Saccharomyces cerevisiae S288C: one gene and its partners. Changing the gene in region 2 together with the main gene of any one other region gives a genetic interaction. Each region holds a gene or a part of one and is shown on either strand. Other genes may lie near its edges.

Evidence for each region.
Region 1: mutations in IES3 (region 2) and ROX1 together harm fitness more than expected from each alone (negative genetic interaction), as found in Saccharomyces cerevisiae (2 studies listed by BioGRID).
Region 3: mutations in IES3 (region 2) and ITC1 together harm fitness more than expected from each alone (negative genetic interaction), as found in Saccharomyces cerevisiae (4 studies listed by BioGRID).

Annotation. Positions count from the first base shown.
Region 1 is NC_001148.4:678,174-682,622, reverse strand, and holds ROX1 (Rox1p), read right to left. Parts: upstream 2,931-4,449; coding exon 1,824-2,930; downstream 1-1,823. Other genes in the region: ISA2 (Isa2p), read right to left, coding at 1-403; NEDD8-activating protein UBA3, read right to left, coding at 511-1,410; YPR064W (uncharacterized protein), read right to left, coding at 3,253-3,672; YPR063C (uncharacterized protein), read left to right, coding at 4,303-4,343, 4,430-4,449. UniProt on the Saccharomyces cerevisiae protein: Transcription factor that represses the expression of HEM13, COX5B, ANB1, CYC7 or AAC3 (hypoxic function). Binds to the DNA sequence 5'-RRRTAACAAGAG-3'.
Region 2 is NC_001144.5:244,167-249,796, reverse strand, and holds IES3 (Ies3p), read right to left. Parts: upstream 2,597-5,630; coding exon 1,844-2,596; downstream 1-1,843. Other genes in the region: OSW2 (Osw2p), read left to right, coding at 1-1,080; NRS1 (Nrs1p), read left to right, coding at 1,371-1,697; FCF2 (Fcf2p), read left to right, coding at 2,820-3,473; EMA19 (Ema19p), read left to right, coding at 3,725-4,210; MLO50 (Mlo50p), read left to right, coding at 4,625-5,630. UniProt on the Saccharomyces cerevisiae protein: Probably involved in transcription regulation via its interaction with the INO80 complex, a chromatin-remodeling complex.
Region 3 is NC_001139.9:256,202-263,324, forward strand, and holds ITC1 (Itc1p), read left to right. Parts: upstream 1-1,505; coding exon 1,506-5,300; downstream 5,301-7,123. Other genes in the region: PCL10 (Pcl10p), read left to right, coding at 1-763; DNA-binding E3 ubiquitin-protein ligase SNT2, read right to left, coding at 5,447-7,123. UniProt on the Saccharomyces cerevisiae protein: Functions as a component of the ISW2 complex, which acts in remodeling the chromatin by catalyzing an ATP-dependent alteration in the structure of nucleosomal DNA.

The sequences.
Region 1 (4,449 bases), on a different chromosome or scaffold from region 2:
TATCTTCGGGTAACACGTATATTATATCCTTGGAATCATCATCGTCAAGGTCGTCTGAAAACTCCTTGTCTTTGACATCATTCTTAATATCTGGCTTGGTAGCGGGTTCTAGAGTTAGATTGTACTGGAAACCGTGACATCCACCACTTTCCACACTAATTCTTAAATTTTCCTTACTATTGCGGTAGATCTCAGCTAGTCTGTTGGAAGCCCTCTCAGAAATAGATAAGTTTAACCCAGGCGTCTTATTTATTATTCTTTTCGGTGTGATCAACGGCTCCTTAGTGACCAGATCCGAGTAAAATGCTTTGCTATGAAATAAAAAACATGTTAGGGGAAACTGGCGTAAAGTTGTGGAGGGACGTCTAAAGTTTAGTCTGGTAAACAATAATTTAGCCTGCATACCTTCTTTACTGTGCAATCACATGTACAAGGCTCTCTAGGATCTCGACTTACTTGCAAGATGTTTAAACAAGTGACACCGGCGGATGGTATTATTCATTAGTAATACTAGTTGGAATTGGAATTTGAACAAACAGTACAGTCGGGTAACCGCTCGAACTTGAAACTGTACATAAAACACCCTTCTGAGCAGTTAATCAAAGTGAAATTATTGCCGTTTTCCAGGTCGATTAAATCATTATAAATCTTAACCATCTGCGTACAGCATGTCGCTGCAACCATCGCATTCGTAGTGCTTACACTAGGTATGATACTCTTTATTATACCCAGGATAAAACTTGTTGATAATTTTTCTGTTGAGATGCTAAATTGGGCAGCCCTTTCGCAGCACTTCTCCAGCAGAAATTCCATATCCGCCGTAGACTCAATATTTAAATCAGGGTATTGTATAGTTGAGACATACTCCACAACATGCTCAATGCAGCGAGGATTGTTGGCGATTGTACACATTGGCACAGTATCCTGCTGCGAGGGCAAGGTATCAATGGAGCACTCCCAGCATGCAGTGATGCCTGGAATGATTGTTTTTACATGTCCCTTGAGCCCCTCTGTTCCACCATCTATGAACGGGATGCAAATTTCATAATTGGACTCCAAGGTAAGCTTCACGAGAGTCTCATTGATGAAGCGACGAGGTTCAATGGCGTCCAGCCCCGAGATTATGAACTGGAAGTCTTTGTAAAAGCTCGGGGGCAAAGTGGTCAGGTCCTGTACGTGCGCCACAACTTCCAATTGAGGGAACCGCGTGTTTACATACTGGGCTGCCACTTGAGCTTTCGGTTTGCCTATGTCCTTATCACAAAAAAGAAATTGTCTATTAAGGTTGGTTAGCTCGATTGTGTCTATATCTACAATATGAACCTGTTTAACAAAGCTTAACATTGTCAAATTCTTCAGGATTTCGCATCCTAGACCACCTGCGCCTAACACCAATATCTTGCAGTCCATCCTCGTCGCTTTATTATCGATAATATAGGTATACAATATCTCATTGATTTGTTTTTTAAGTTTAAAAAAAAGGGCTTAAAAAACGACTATGCTGAAACATTATACAATAATACATATTTTTTTTTAAAGGAATGATATTATTTGTGAGGTGAATATATACGTGAAAATTGAGAATATAATTTTATATATTCAAATAGAATTTGTAGACTGTTTCTTTTTTCTTTTCTTTCTTTTTTGTCTCTGGGTACTTTGTTTTAATTTTGACTTTTATTTGCTGTTATTTTACATATTTTTCAATTGTTCTTTTGAGGCGATTTAAACTTTTATTAAACAGGAGCCAAATGCATAAATTTTTAGTTAAAGGGAATATAGTATAATATAATATAACGGAAAGAAGAAATGGAAAAAAAAAATCATTTCGGAGAAACTAGGCTAGTTTTAGCGGTGACCTCAGTGTTGCTTGAGTTTATAATTTGATGTAGAGGAATGTTTTGGTTTGGTATATGAGGAATGTGATGATGCGTAGGGGTAGTTGTGGACAATAGATTGTTCCTGGTGTGAGACAGTGGTTTGACAATATAAGTTGGTCCCATCTGCTTTAGCTGCTGGTACTGATCCAGTTGAAAATCTTGCAGAGAAGGTAATAGAGGGGGAGGTAAATATTGATTTGAATTGTTGATACTGTTTAATCTGTTGTTCTCCAGTACAGAGGAGTTCGGAGAAGAGGAGAATTTCCCAGGAGAAGATGTCGCAGTTGTTGTGGATGTGGTAGTTGTAGTTACCGGTGTTTGACTGCTGTTGTTGATAATGGATGAAATAAAGGGCAATTGAGGGGTCGAGTTAGCCCTTGGTTGAGCTTGAGCGACGTTGAGGTAATGATGTCTCGTTGAAGGGTCGTGTGGAGCTGAGTAATATGGAATAGAATTTAGTTGAGATGACAGCTGTGGTAGGTCTCTTGCCGTCTTATCATGCGTCAAAGGTAGTCCACTTAAAGATCTGGAGACCATATAGTTAGAAGTATTAACAGAAGGAATAGGCAACCTCTTAAGATCATTGTTCAATTGGAACTGATAGCTGTTCGAGCTTGACACCGAGGAAGATGGTGAAAGAGAATGTGCTCTTTTCATAAGAACTATATTGTTGTTAAAGGGCTGTTGTAATTGCGGTTGTGACTGTTTCTGCTGCTGCTGTTCTTTCTGTTGTTGCTGCTGCTGTTGCTCGATTTCCTTCAAAAGTAGTTGCTTCTTCTTAGACTTTCTTACCGGCTTGTATTTGTATTCAGGATACTTCCTTTCATGTTCTAGTTTCTCCTTCTCCGCTAGATTTTCCCAGTGTGCCTTATCTTCCGGTTGTAAGCCCTTCCACTTCGTACCAATAATTTTAGAAATGTTTGAATTATGGGGTATTTCCACACCTTGAGCGGTCCATTCGTCTATTAAGATCCTGTGGTAGTGCTGTCTGAACAGAATAAATGCGTTCTTGGGTCTTGGAATCTTAGGTGTAGAGGATTTAGGATTCATTGTTGATTGTCTAACTGCGTTCTTTTGTGTGAAGAAGTATTAGTATTTTCTGGAATAATGAGGGGTGAAGAGGGAGAGTTAAGACACCGTAAATGTATAATTATATGCGAAAATTATAAAAGAAAGCAATGAGAAGAAACATTAAAACTGGAAAATAGTGCTATATTTAAGTAAAACTTCTGAAACTACAATTAGCAAATAAGATAGAGCAGAAAAGGAAAATGCAAGAGCGAAAAAAAAAAAACTTTGTTTAAGACCGTTACATTACGCAAAGTGAAAACGAAGAAAATATAATAGCAAAGAGCACTATAATAGTAAGAACCTACACACAAAAGACACAAAGAACACCGGCAAGACAATACGAGGAAGAACAACAAAAGAGGCAGCAACAATAGGCCCTTTTCTTCTTTGTCAGCAATCGCCAAGTTCTAGAACAAGGTTTTCCTACCAGATTTCCAATTGTTTTGCATAGTAATTCCCGGTAGTTCCACGCGGCCGATACCTCGACAGGCCAATGATATCCAGGGGATTTGTCGGCCGAGCCGAAGATCACCTGCCTCTCCGACGTCGGCTTTGCAGCTGCGGCAGCTCCTAGCGTAAGTAGCAGGAAAAAAAAGAAAGAAAATACTTTAAAGTACGCCTGCACCTGGGTTGCTCTAAACGGGAACAAGAGCCGGTTCCGATAACCGCACACTATTATTTCTAATCCCTCTACGTAATTGCTAAGCACACATGACTTCATACTTGCGTCACCCCGATTTTATTATTCCCTCCGGTTAAGCAAACGCCGCACCCCTGAGTCCGCCAGACCGGCCGCAAGAGAACGCAGTGTGTGTTCCTGTCTCTTTGCACGAACAAAGGAGATAGGACGGCACCCAGGCTCGCTAGGCGGCTACATGACTAAATGCCCAAGTTTCGTGCATTATGTAGAAGAAAATAGACGTCTGTGTAATCATTTCTTGAAGCAAAGCAATATTTGCAGGTTGAATGTAGGTCAACTGCATACTGGGAAGCGTTTTCTGACCGCTTCGGAAGCGTGAGCGGTCCGTCTCTTACAACTCGTTTGGAGCTACATGGTGAGACAACATTGGCGCGCACGCCAATGTTGTCCTTCTCAATGGCCATGCAAACACTGCTATTTTATCGATAACTGTTGTGATCTTGGCTTAGTTCTTGTGCTTTTTACACCCCGCAGTAGCGCTAGTTGTATGATTGCGGTTATCTGTCGCTTCTGTTCTCGTAACGCGCAACATGGAAGAAAAAATACTGAAAAATAATTTTAACAAAAGCTTGAGCAGAATGGGCATGGTACAACATCCATAGGCAAAAAAAAGGAATACATATACTCCGCTGCTACCTCCTCAACTAAACAATGACTTTGAATAACGTTGCAAGGCCCGACCTTTGTGTTTCGTATGTTTTTCACCGACAATTTTCTTTCAAATTTGCTGATATTGCCAATATATACTAACAGTTCAACCGCTCCCTTTCTACCACAGGTACAAGAAAATTGCGCCAC
Region 2 (5,630 bases):
TATGGATTCTATACGAGGTTACTGACACTAAGTGGGCTATCAATAAATGGTGGAAGGTGTGAGCATGCCTTGTCGATGTTGGACAGCAGGATTGGTGGTGGTATTAACGTTGCTTCAGGAATTAATAGCGGCCAAGATTTTACCGATGGTGATAACGAGGATCAAGATAAAGGCAAAAACAGAGTGGACAAAAATGTAAAGGAAGGTTCTTTCATTAGTTTAACACAACGATTCACGATGACAAGTCCACTGGGTGTCAATGATCCAGCTTTACCAGCGGACTTAGAAAAGTTGTATTTAGGTGCAGAATACATTAGCAATTGCGACGCAAATACATCTGGTGGTCAAAAACGAGTAAAATCTCCAACTAAAGCAGATACAGGCTACGATGATAAACACTTGCCTGATGATACGATACATACATTTGAAGATGAATATTTGGCCGATGAAGACGACTTTTCTTGCCTTGGAATTGACAAAAGAAGCTCAACAAAGCCCACAAAGCCTCTAGAAAAATTTGGAGTGGTTGCTGTGCCACACTTCATCAGGAGGTTTTCTATTAAAAGGTCGAGTAAGGATAAATCAAATGATATGAAAAGACCATATACTACAAGCAGCTTGGAGTTGCAATTAAGGTCAAATCACTTTATGTTCGCCAAAGAATACCAAGACTTACATAGACAATTATATTACGAAGTTAAACCAAGGACGCAATCAGAATTGGACGCAAGACGTCGAAACTATTCTGAATTAGAATCTCAGATGTGGAAAATTAAACATCGGTTCAATATTCATAGAGGAGCACTGCCTCGTCCACGAACGAATCCGTATGAGCTATTACTGGACCACATTGATGTTTTGAACCGTGGCAACACTGGGGATATTTTGAGATTTACCACTAGTAGATACGGTGGTGTAGATACGTATGATTCCATCTTGAGGGACCAATCCACGATCATGGAACTTTTAGATAAACGGTGTGCCTATTCACCTCCAGTACTGTTCGATAATGAGGCTAAAGAACGTGATCATGATCGCGATTGTTATCAAGATTACAATCACGACCACCGGAGTCATTAATATTAAAAAAAAAAAATGTGATTGTTAATAAGGGGTGGGATGCGCGAAATTCTATGCCTACAGTAGAAAGCGGTTGTTGCACAAATGATTAAATCTTTATCTCCAACTCACAATACTATCGCGATAGATGCATAATATGTGCAGCTTCTAAACAGCACGGAGTGATGATAAATACGCATATATGTATATATATATGTATGTGCATATGCACGTCCTTTTAAAACTCAAAATACAACATTCTTAGTAAATCCTTTTGTTGACACACGTCGGAACAACTCAGGACGGAGTTAATGGATATGCTTCATAATAAATGTAGTGATGCTATCAAAAGCACCTCCAATAGCAATTTGAGTAATGAGGTAGACAAACAAAAATTGCAATACGATGACCTCGGGAACACCGGATTTTCTGAACTATTTGAGATGGAATCTCAAGATAATAATGATAGCATAGAGGATTTCTTGTTCTTTAATATAAATTTAACCCAGGAGGTTGAGTTCGAGAACCAAAGACAATATGAGCACACGAAAAAGACAAAGAAGCATAACCCATTCTATGTACCGTCAGAGGTAGTGCGAGAGATGGTCAAGAAACACGCATTGAATGGCAGAATATAGTTAAGCCCGATAACACATTCTATTTTTCATGTTTTAATAACGTTTCATATATGAATTTTTCTCAAATATACGATATATACCTAAATGAATATGCATATGGAAGTGAAGTTGGGGATTTTGCAAACTTGTCTTATGTTAATCTTGGCTTAAAGAATGTTTTCCAAAAGGCCGTTCTTATTAATTTTTCTTCTCTTGGTTCTGTTAAATGCTAGTGAATTCGCATTGACGTTCGTTGGTATGGCTACTGCTCCGAATGCGATTGGATGGCTTGCCTTCCTGCCACGATTACTGAACAAATCGAGTTCTACATTTGCATCCAACAGTAGTTCTTTCAATATAAACCACTTTCTTTCTTTCTGTGAAAGTTTTTGGTACTCTTCAAGCAAGTTCTCTTGGATTTTGGTCAGTATATCAATTTTTTCATCATCTGATAAGTCAGGGTCCTCAGTTTCTTGGTCCTGCTCCGCTGCATTTAATGTTACAATTTGGTCATTGACAGCTTGTAAAAAGTTGTCATTCATAGCGTAAAGATTGTCCTTGTACAACCTTGTCTTGAGGGTGCTTATATCTATCTCATCTTGGTTAGCGTTCGTTATTACATTCCCTGGAGAATTCTTTATCATTTCATAGTTCATTTTCGATATGTCATCCACGGCAACAATGTGTCTTTTGAATGTCGTGGTGTTTGTGTGAGTGGAAGCAGTTGAGGCGGCATTTGCATCGGTAGCTGTAGATGGGGTCGAAGAACCTTGTTGATTCAAGCCATCTGCGTTATGAAATTTTTTGTGATGTGGGTCTTTCTCCAAGAAATCTGGAGTTTTGACACTTTTGTAATGTTGAGTAGCTGCATGAGCAAACTGCACCTGTTTATTGGTTGCCAAGAGGTCTTCGAACTTCATTGTTATGATTCCATTGAAGACAGCTATGTCAGTTAACAACGCAATTCCCCCTTTCACACGAAAACCTTTTCTCTAAACATCCTTCTCTTTTATCATAATTCGTGGTTAGTGCCGGCCTAAAAATTTTTCAGCATATTAAAACAGAAGATAGAAAAGAAATAGAAAATGCGATGAGACGTCAAGTTTTCCAATTAAAGAGGACGTGAGAAAGGAGCTGTTAAACATGGATCAAAGTGTGGAAGACTTATTTGGAGCACTAAGAGATGCTAGTGCCAGTCTAGAAGTAAAAAATTCAGCGAAGGAACAAGTTTCTCTTCAACAAGAGGATGTTTTGCAGATAGGCAATAATGATGATGAAGTAGAAATTGAAAGTAAATTTCAAGAGATCGAAACTAATCTTAAGAAGCTTCCTAAGTTAGAAACCGGATTTGATGCTTTAGCAAACAAGAAGAAGAAGAAGAACGTCTTGCCTAGTGTGGAGACAGAAGATAAAAGAAAACCCAACAAGAGCGACAAAAACGATAATGACTGGTTTACCTTACCAAAGCCAGATGATAACATGCGTCGTGAAGTTCAACGAGATTTATTGCTGATTAAACATAGAGCTGCTCTTGATCCAAAGAGACATTATAAGAAGCAACGTTGGGAGGTGCCAGAGAGGTTTGCTATTGGTACCATAATTGAAGACAAGAGTGAGTTTTATAGTAGTCGTATGAACAGGAAGGAAAGAAAGTCGACTATTTTGGAAACACTCATGGGTGATGAAGCTTCTAATAAGTATTTCAAGCGTAAATACAACGAAATTCAGGAGAAATCTACGAGCGGTAGGAAGGCACATTACAAGAAAATGAAAGAGATGAGAAAGAAGCGGAGGTGAGATAATGGAATTTTCTTCGCCACGTATTCCATATAGTATATTGTAAAGTGGTTTAGATTACATAGAAATATTCAAAAGAATTAATAATTTGCATATCGTTTAAAAAAAAAAAACCTTTGAAAACATAGTAAAGAATTATCGGCTTTTGTACAGGATACGAATTAGTAGGTATAAAAGGAACAACCGCAGCAAATAAGTACGAGAAACGAGCCACTCACGTGAAAACATATAGAGAAAAGCGACCGGAGATAATGAAGCTAGGACATCGTGAGCAACAATTCTACTTGTGGTACTTCATCGTTCACATTCCCATCACCATATTCATCGACTCATCAGTGGTTATTCCCGCTAAATGGCAACTAGGGATTGCGCAAAAGGTTGTTAGTGATCACATCGCAAAGCAACACGATTTCCTGCTATCAGAGAAACCAGAATGGCTATACTGGTTTGTAGTCCTTGAGCTAGTTCTGCAACTACCCCTTTTCGTCTATTTCGTCAATAAATTCTGGAATTCAAGCGAATTACAAGTTAATACAAATAGCAGATTGAAAAAGTGGTTGCGTATCTATGGCTGGAATGCCTCTCTAACTACCTTGATATGTATCGTTGTTATTTTCAAGCGTGGTTACATTCCTTACGATGTGCTAAAAACAAGCTTGTCCATGACCCAGAAGTGTCAGTTAGCCTCGGTGTACCTACCTACATTCCTAATTCCTTTGCGTTTGTGTTTTGTGTAGCCTGTGTCGGCTATATATACAGTATTAGTGACTATATAGTTAATTAGTGACATATGCCACTAGTTTTATCTAATTATTGTGCTGCGTTTTGCAGTATTCTTTTTTATTTGAAACGCGTCACAAAAGTTTCGCGTCCTTAGGGAAATGGCTGGTTTTTGTTTTAAAATAGTATATTATCCTTGATGTAATTTAGCAAGAGTGTATTGTAAGGGAACAGTCTGTTACTGCCATTCCCTCATCGCTAGATCCCCCTTCCCTCGCTTATTCCGTTACTTTCGCTTTACTGAGCCATAACCAAGCGCACGCATACATATATATATATATATATATTGTGCTGCACGTATATATAAATAAATCACGCGTACAAGGATACGTTAGCCAAATTCTTTGGATATAACAAAACAGCTACAACTCATGGTTAATAATATCATGCACGAGTACGTACCACCCAGTCAGCGGCTATTCCATAGCAGGCATAGAATAACAAGAAACGATTTGAAAGAAGAGGCCCTACATTCCGGGACCACAGATTGGACAACAATTCTGGACACAACAATAGATAAAGATACTAATCTCATTAGTTATGCTGTCCCCATAATAGACAACTTTGCCATTCCTCGAGCAAACTCTCAGGGGAGTCCTGTGGCCCCTTCGCCGAATCACAGATCAACGATGTACTCTTCTTCATCTTCTTCTGCGTCTTCTGTGTTTTCTGATGGTTTGTTTACTCCAAACAACAACAGGAACTCATCAGGATCATCTTCATTAGTCATTAGACCACAAAAAAATTTGAGTGTAGATTCTTTGATTCAGGAAAATAAAAGGAAAATCAATAGTGAAAAAGAATCGTTATCATTAATTGCCAATAATAACGATGAAACCTTGTGCACTCATACTGATCCATCCATACAAAACCTCATTAAATCGGAAACAAAGAGGAACATCTTAAATTTAAAGTTTCAAAATAGAAACTTATTTCGAAGAGAACTAAAATTGGAAAAGTTTTGGAGCAATTTGAGAAGTTGTCATACATCTGGCGATGAGACGGACCTGCTGTTGGTGATAAGTAAGCATAACTTATATTGGTTTGGGATACCGAACGATTTTCGTCTTCCAATATACAAGAGATGTTTATATCACTATAGCGAACTAGACGAAGCCGGATTTTTCAGTCAGTATGCGAACAACTCATTGTATCTAGCAATAAGGAAATGTTGTAACAACGAAGAGCAGGAAACTCTATCCCGGTCTATTTTCATCAATTTGACGAAAAACGTTACCTGGTTGAATAGTCGTTTCGATGACAATAAGGACAACAAGAATTCTTACACGGTTACTGAGGGGAAGTTCTATCAGGACTTTCCTAACTTATACTACCATTTAAAGGACAAGTTGAAATTAAATGTGATAATGGATTTCA
Region 3 (7,123 bases), on a different chromosome or scaffold from region 2:
TAGATCACCACTCTTCAAATCTCCAACTGCCAGTTTCGAAATTGGCGATGCTACGGATGTGGAGGAGCAAGATATTGATGACTCCATTTTTTCTGAATGTAGCAGCATTACAAGCTTTGATATGGGAGGGTTGCATATCAGTCTACCACACGATGAAGAAGAAGATCAAGAAAAAACTAAGTCCGAAAGTGAAAACCCGTTGCTACATGGCATACCGGTTGATGTAGAAGTGCCCCACATATCGGTTGATGAAGCTCTGGCGAATTTCAAGGAAACCATAGAACTACTACTAAAACTTAGTGGCAATAGAAAGTGTACCGGTTTCAATACTAGAGTGGAGAAAAAAGAATACTCGAATTTCTACATGAAAAGTAAACCCACCTTATCATCAGCAGATTTTCTCAAGAGAATCCAAGACAAATGTGAGTACCAGCCAACTGTTTACCTTGTGGCAACATTTTTAATTGACACGTTGTTTTTAACAAGGGATGGCAATAACATTTTGCAGTTGAAGTTAAACTTACAGGAAAAGGAGGTCCATCGAATGATAATAGCAGCGGTTAGATTGAGCACGAAATTATTGGAAGATTTCGTTCACTCACATGAATATTTTAGTAAAGTATGCGGTATTTCGAAACGGCTTTTGACTAAATTAGAAGTCAGTCTATTGATCTGTGTGTGCAATACTAAATTAATGGTCAGTAACAGGAAATTAGCCGCCTCCAAATTACTTTTGAATGAACTACGGTCCTTCTGTGTATAGTTGATACAAGTATTTTAGATAATTATTTTAACGAACGTAACGAATGCTTTCCAGTCAATAGCGGCACTGGTAATATGATACAAACAATTTCTCAATAAAACAACGACAAACTTAGTCTGTTTATATTTCCGTGCAATGGTGGAAACCTGTACTCGATATTGGAGAAAACTTCAGAGCTTCCCAACAGTTATCCCGGATTCTTAATTGATGCTCTCGAAACGCACATAAAAATGTGATTTTTTTACTCGCATTAAATTACTGTTGAATCTATGGTTCAAACAAATGTATATTTGCCTACACATCTTTCTCTGTCCCTTCTGTATTGTCTAACCTTAAAATAGAAATATTTCATGGTTTTATTTCTTTTAAGTTTATTATCCATTTTTAACGTGGTGAGAAAACCCGAAATGAAAAATAATAAAGGAAAATTATAGAGGAAAAAAAGTGTAGAAATAGAAAAAAAATAAAAAGGATAATACCGATCAGAAAAATCCTCTTTCTTGCTCTTCTTCTTTTCTTTGTATTTCTCCTGAAAAAATTCAGAAAAACATATATTGGGTTAAATACATAACTATTTAAAAGGCTGTAAACAATTCAACTGACATTAGATACATCACACTCAATTACTGTTGGAAATAGGCAGATATATCCAGATTTTTACAATTACTATAGCACTTCCATTGAAGATATATAAAAAAAGAAAATAACAATAGGAGGAAGTAAAGAAAGCCGTTAATAAACAATGGTGTTATATAAAAGGAAACCTATATTACTTCCTGATCCAAAACCTTTACCATTGGATTTGAATGTACAAGTATGGCATATTGAAGAGACTGGAGAATGGTTTTCTAGTTACGAAGAATTTTTAGAAAGGTTTGATTTCTACACACGCCACCATTTTACATGCGAAATCACTGGTACTTCTTGCCTGACTTTTTTCCAAGCTCTGGATAGTGAGGAGACACAATTCAAATACGTCGAAGACAGATTCCCATTAAAGTTGAGAGAACCAGTTGCAAGATTTTTACATTTTAACGGAATAAGAAGGTTAGATGCATTGGTGGAGAAAGTTTACGCAAGATTTAAAAATGACTTTTTCCCAGGAGAAGTTGTTTATCTACGTAAACAGAAAGACTCTTCTACCACAAGCTCTAATTCCCAACAAAGTACTCCTCAACCTGATGATATGGTCGAAATCAACAGTGTTGGTAATCCTGGCTTACCGCAGTACCAATACCAAAGACGTTATGTTATCAAAGAAAAGGTCCAATTTAACGCAACGATAAATCCAGAGAGCAGGGAAATTGTGATGCCCGCTCATACTAAATACATGCTGATAGAAGAAGCAGCTTCCAGTAATAAATCCTTCATTGTTGATCAAGGACAAATTTACAGGGACCGTTCCACTTTCACTAAGCACTTAATCAAATGTTTTTTCAAGATTACTTTACAGAGGGCATCTTCGAAAATGGGTGCACCTTGGTGTGTCAAACCGGAATATTTAGCGATGTATGGTTTAACGATGGAATGGCCAAAAGATATGTTAAAATATAAAGAAGATGAACCTGTCGTAGCAAGACGTTCCAACAGTGCCAATGTTTCATCCCCAGAAAGTGAAAAGAATAAACGTCAAAGTAAATCATCGGGTAAAAGTAACACCTCAAACGATGCTTCTAACAAAAAAGAAACCAAGAAAAAAAGAAAGCCAACCGAAGTAAATGATTCTGAGAATAATTCTTCGGAAGAAGACAAGAAGAAGGGTCAAAATGTCACATCAGAAACACATTCTAAAAAAAGGAAAAAGGAAGCCAATGAGGAACCGAACACGGAAAACGTCGAAAGCGTTCCTACACCAGCTAATGCGGAGCCTCAGGCTGTAACAATAACGAGCATAATGGATGACCTAGCTTTGCCATATCAACATCCACCGAACATCTTTCCAAACTTAACGTATTATAATGAAAAATTAGAATGTATTTCATTAGGTTCTACAAAACTTTCCAGACCTTTTGATTCTTTTGGAAAGCTATTACAAGCCTATCAGTTTCTGAATACGTTTGGTTCGAAAATTTGTCTCTCTCATTTTAGCCTTGACCAATTCATTACTTCTTTGAAATGTACAGACCCATATGAGTTAAAGGGCGAAGTTGTTTTAGTGAACATAAGAACGCAAACGTCTAAAGAACAAGAAATTGAAAATAACGGCCTGCCGATGAAAAACAAAGCAGAGACTACTACTGAGGAAGACTCTGAAAACCCAAGTGACTGGCAAAGAAATTCATTTATTCGTGATATGATAATGAAAAGAAATTCCGACAAGGTTGAGTACAAGATTGTTCACGATGACCCAGCATCCGATGATATACTTGATAATATCAATCATAATGGGTCTGCTCTTCTCATTGAAGTTTTTACTGCGCTCTTACGTTTGTTCATCAACGAAGAAGGCGATTGGAGTTGCATCGTCGTTGAAAACTGGATAATAGACGACAAGGGAGTCCTTATGGAGAGAAAAGATGAAAGAGGGGAGGGGGAGGCGAAGCAAAAACGAAATGCTCACGGATACTTTTTACAAGATAAGGAAAAGATCGACAACCTAAAGGACACATTAAAGGAAAACGCAACAGAAGTTCAAAAAGAATCAGACGCTAAAAACGAAACAAATTCAGAATCTGATTCTAAATCTGATTCTGACAGTGAAGAACGAGATCCTAAATTAGAAAAGTGTTTGAACTACCGCAATGTTAACTGGATAGAACGCTTGACGAAAAGGCAATTTAATAACAGTTACTGGCTAATAATTTTACTGGGAGTCTTAGAAGATTGTAGACATCTTCCCATGTATACAGAGTTTATTGATTCTTTCATAGAAAAGATCATACCCAAAGATATATCAGCTACTCAATTGCCCAAACAGCTTTGGAGAAATTTCTGTCGAAAGCTGTCGTTCAGTGACAAAGTCAATGCGCTGTGGATACTTGTAGATCTCGTATCGCATTTTTCTCCAGATATCAAAGCTGCTGTAGATGATTCCATGGAACTATGTGGTCAAATTCGTAGCGAAAGATTCAAAGTTGCGAGAGAGTTGAAAACGGAGGCAGCCGTCTTAAGTAATCTTCAAGGCGACCTGCAGGCAATTCAAGAGAAGTTAAATAAAACAGATGAAAACACACCATCAGCCGATGGTGCCGATAAAAAAGATGATTCCGAATCAAATAGTGAACCAATTGATCTTATTATCATTGAGAAAAAGCAAAAGTTAATTGAAGAGCAGGATAAAAAGGTACAAGCTTTACAATCAGATAAAAATTTCCTCGATAATTGTCTATTTGAAAACGATCTACAAAGATTAAAGCCGTTGGGATTGGATCGATACGGGAACAGGTATTTTTGGCTGGATCACAATGGTGTTCCATTTCCTCAATATCCTGCTGGTATGAATGAGACGCCGAAAAGTAACAATAGTTTGAGTTATCACTCCGGTCGTTTATTAATTCAGGGACCTAAAGCATCATCGGCGAAATTCTTTTTGAACGTCAGTGATGAGCAATTGAGCAATTGGCAAAAAATCAGAAATTCCGAAGGAATATCCGAGGCAACTAGGGAAGTATTTGGTATCTCCAAAACTAGTTCCGGATCTTATAATTACGTAGAAAATGGAATAGAGGTCGAACTATTGGACAGTAATGATCGCGTAAACCCACTTATAGAGCTGACACCTATTCAAAAGAAAATTATGGATGAAACACCTTCAAGGTTGCTACTATCACCAGATCAATGGTATTGCATTGACAAGTTAGAGGACTTGTCAAGAATAATGGACTGGTTAGATAATTGGGGTCGCAAAGAGCATGATCTCTTGAGGCAAATCAGACCCATAATGGAACGAATTAAAAGTTCCCTTAGCTTGCGCGACCATGCGCTGTCACTGACAGCATTCACCAAAAATGAAGAAAAGTTGCTAAAGGAGTTAGAAAATAATGAATTTACCGAAAACGAATTGAACGTTGATAGTATGGATGTTGATGATAAAAATAGCGGTGTTAAAAGTGAGGTTGATGTACAGGTTGATGCCGAAGAGAAGAGAGAAGCTGTGATAGACGAAAAGTTGGAGGTGATTGCAGACGAACTCATGAAGCTAGATGATAGCTCGAAAACACGCAATGTTCTTAATAGAATACAAGAATTAGAAGATCAGAGAGATGAACTCTTGGAACAGAAAAAATCCATAATAAATTCGCAGAGGCCAGGCGCGAGGATTTTAGCCCGTTCAGAAAGGAAAAGAACCAAAATCTCCCGTGGTAATAAGGTGAATAAGCAGATTGAAATATTGACTGACTTAGTCAATTATAGACATTTTAAAGCTATGGAAGATGTGATAGCTTGGAAAAACGTTTTAGCAAATTCGATATGGGGTTCCTCACTTCGCAAAAATGCATCTGGTAATAAAAGGAGTGGTGTCATTGAAACAGTAGACGATAAATTAAAAGATATAGTGGGCCAAACCTCAAGAACAGTAACACCTGCCCCAAATTAATATATAAAAAACTTCCTTTGTAACTGATGGTAAATTGTAGTATTCATAAATAGGATAAGATTATTCATTGTAAGCATAATGGAAAAAAATAACACAACAAAGCCGCGCAAGATTGGACCATACTTTCTATCTAAGGTAACTATCACTTACTGGCTTGATGGATGCGTATTTTTGTCGGTACCAGCTTCTGAAATATCGATATCAAACATAGCTGGCTCAATTCCTTCCATCAATTGCTGGGTAATTTCGACTGGTAAACCGTTATCGTTAGAGATATTAGCAGATGCGCTATCAAAATCGAGTTCTTGGGCACCTGATCTCAAATTGCAAGAATGGCAAATAATATCTTCATACCAGTATAAACTTTTGTTTGTACCACAATGTGGGCAAGTCCTTTCGAAAGGAAGTACGTAAATTTTGGGTTTAATAGCAGAGTCGTGTGAGTTTCCTGGCATTTCGCCGTGTCGCAGTCTAAGCTGTTCAAAATATCTCAACTCCACTAGACTATGGTCAGATTCGCACTTATAATATCTGCAGTATTGTTCTATGTATGACAGAGTATGTTGAGGCTTGTACGATAATGGATAAAGTTCGTTTCCTTCTAAGCTGATATCGTGTCTATCGCATATTAGTATAGGTCTCAAAGTGTATGTATCGTTAAGCTTGACATCCTTTATGCACGGTAGAGTGGTGTCTACAGACATATTTTTCTTTTCAAACATAAGCTTAAAATTGGAGCTGTTCTGTGCACATGTAATATGATACCTATATTGGCATTTGTTACACTTCACTAACCCACCTCCATTTATCCTGCACACACCACATGTAAATCTACTATGTTTAATAAGCACAGCAGTGGTATTAAGGGCAGGTTGCATTGATTGTCCGTTTCCATATTTGATATCTTCATTGAAAAGTGAGCAAACCAAATGCACCCATGTCCCTAAGCTCGTGCATTTCAATGCGTCTGGACATATTTTAAATGATTGGCTCCTATATCTATCATAGTCATAGTCCTTCGTAGGACACATACTACATTGGTAGGTCGTTGATATTATAGGATTGAGGTCATTTGAACAAGGGTCACATAACCATTTAAATGTCTTAAGGTTAGTGTTTTTCTTCATATCTTTCGGCAGTTTAATAGCATAACAGAAGTAGTGTACTGTAAGTCCACAATTACCACATACTACCTCATAGTTGTCATTGTCGTTAAATTTTTCTTTGCAGACACTACAAAAAGTCCTTGCGCTATTATTTGCCCATGCTGTATCAGGATTTTTTGGTTTATTCTTAGTGTGTTTCAAAATCATGTCTTTCTCTAACATTTTGCTCGGTTTATTACCATCATGGTATTTTTCAAGGGCGACAGAAGTTTCCTTAGAATGTGAAATAACTGTATAATTGTACGATGCCCCGTTTGGTTCGTTTAACGGATTACTTAACGCTATGTCATTGATCATTTTGATCTTCTTCGTTGAAGGTTCATTATATTTTGGCAGCTTATTATTCACTAACTTTAAGCTATTCCGTAATCGCTGAAATGTTTTGTTATCAAATTTGACAAATTTAAAACCTTTATCTACAGACACTGAACCAGAAGAACTGCCGCCTGTTTTAATTGAAATTTCTATCAAATCATTCGAAGCATTAGTGATTTTAGGAATATTGTTATTACTAGCCTTCTCGATAAATACATCGTTGCACTTGCGATTTCGGCTTGTATCACTTGTTTTGATAGTACCAGGTGATTGTCGAATTATGTTCACGGGAAATTCGTCCTTTGTGTTTTTCGCTCTTTCTGGCTTTTGTTCAGGGATGGC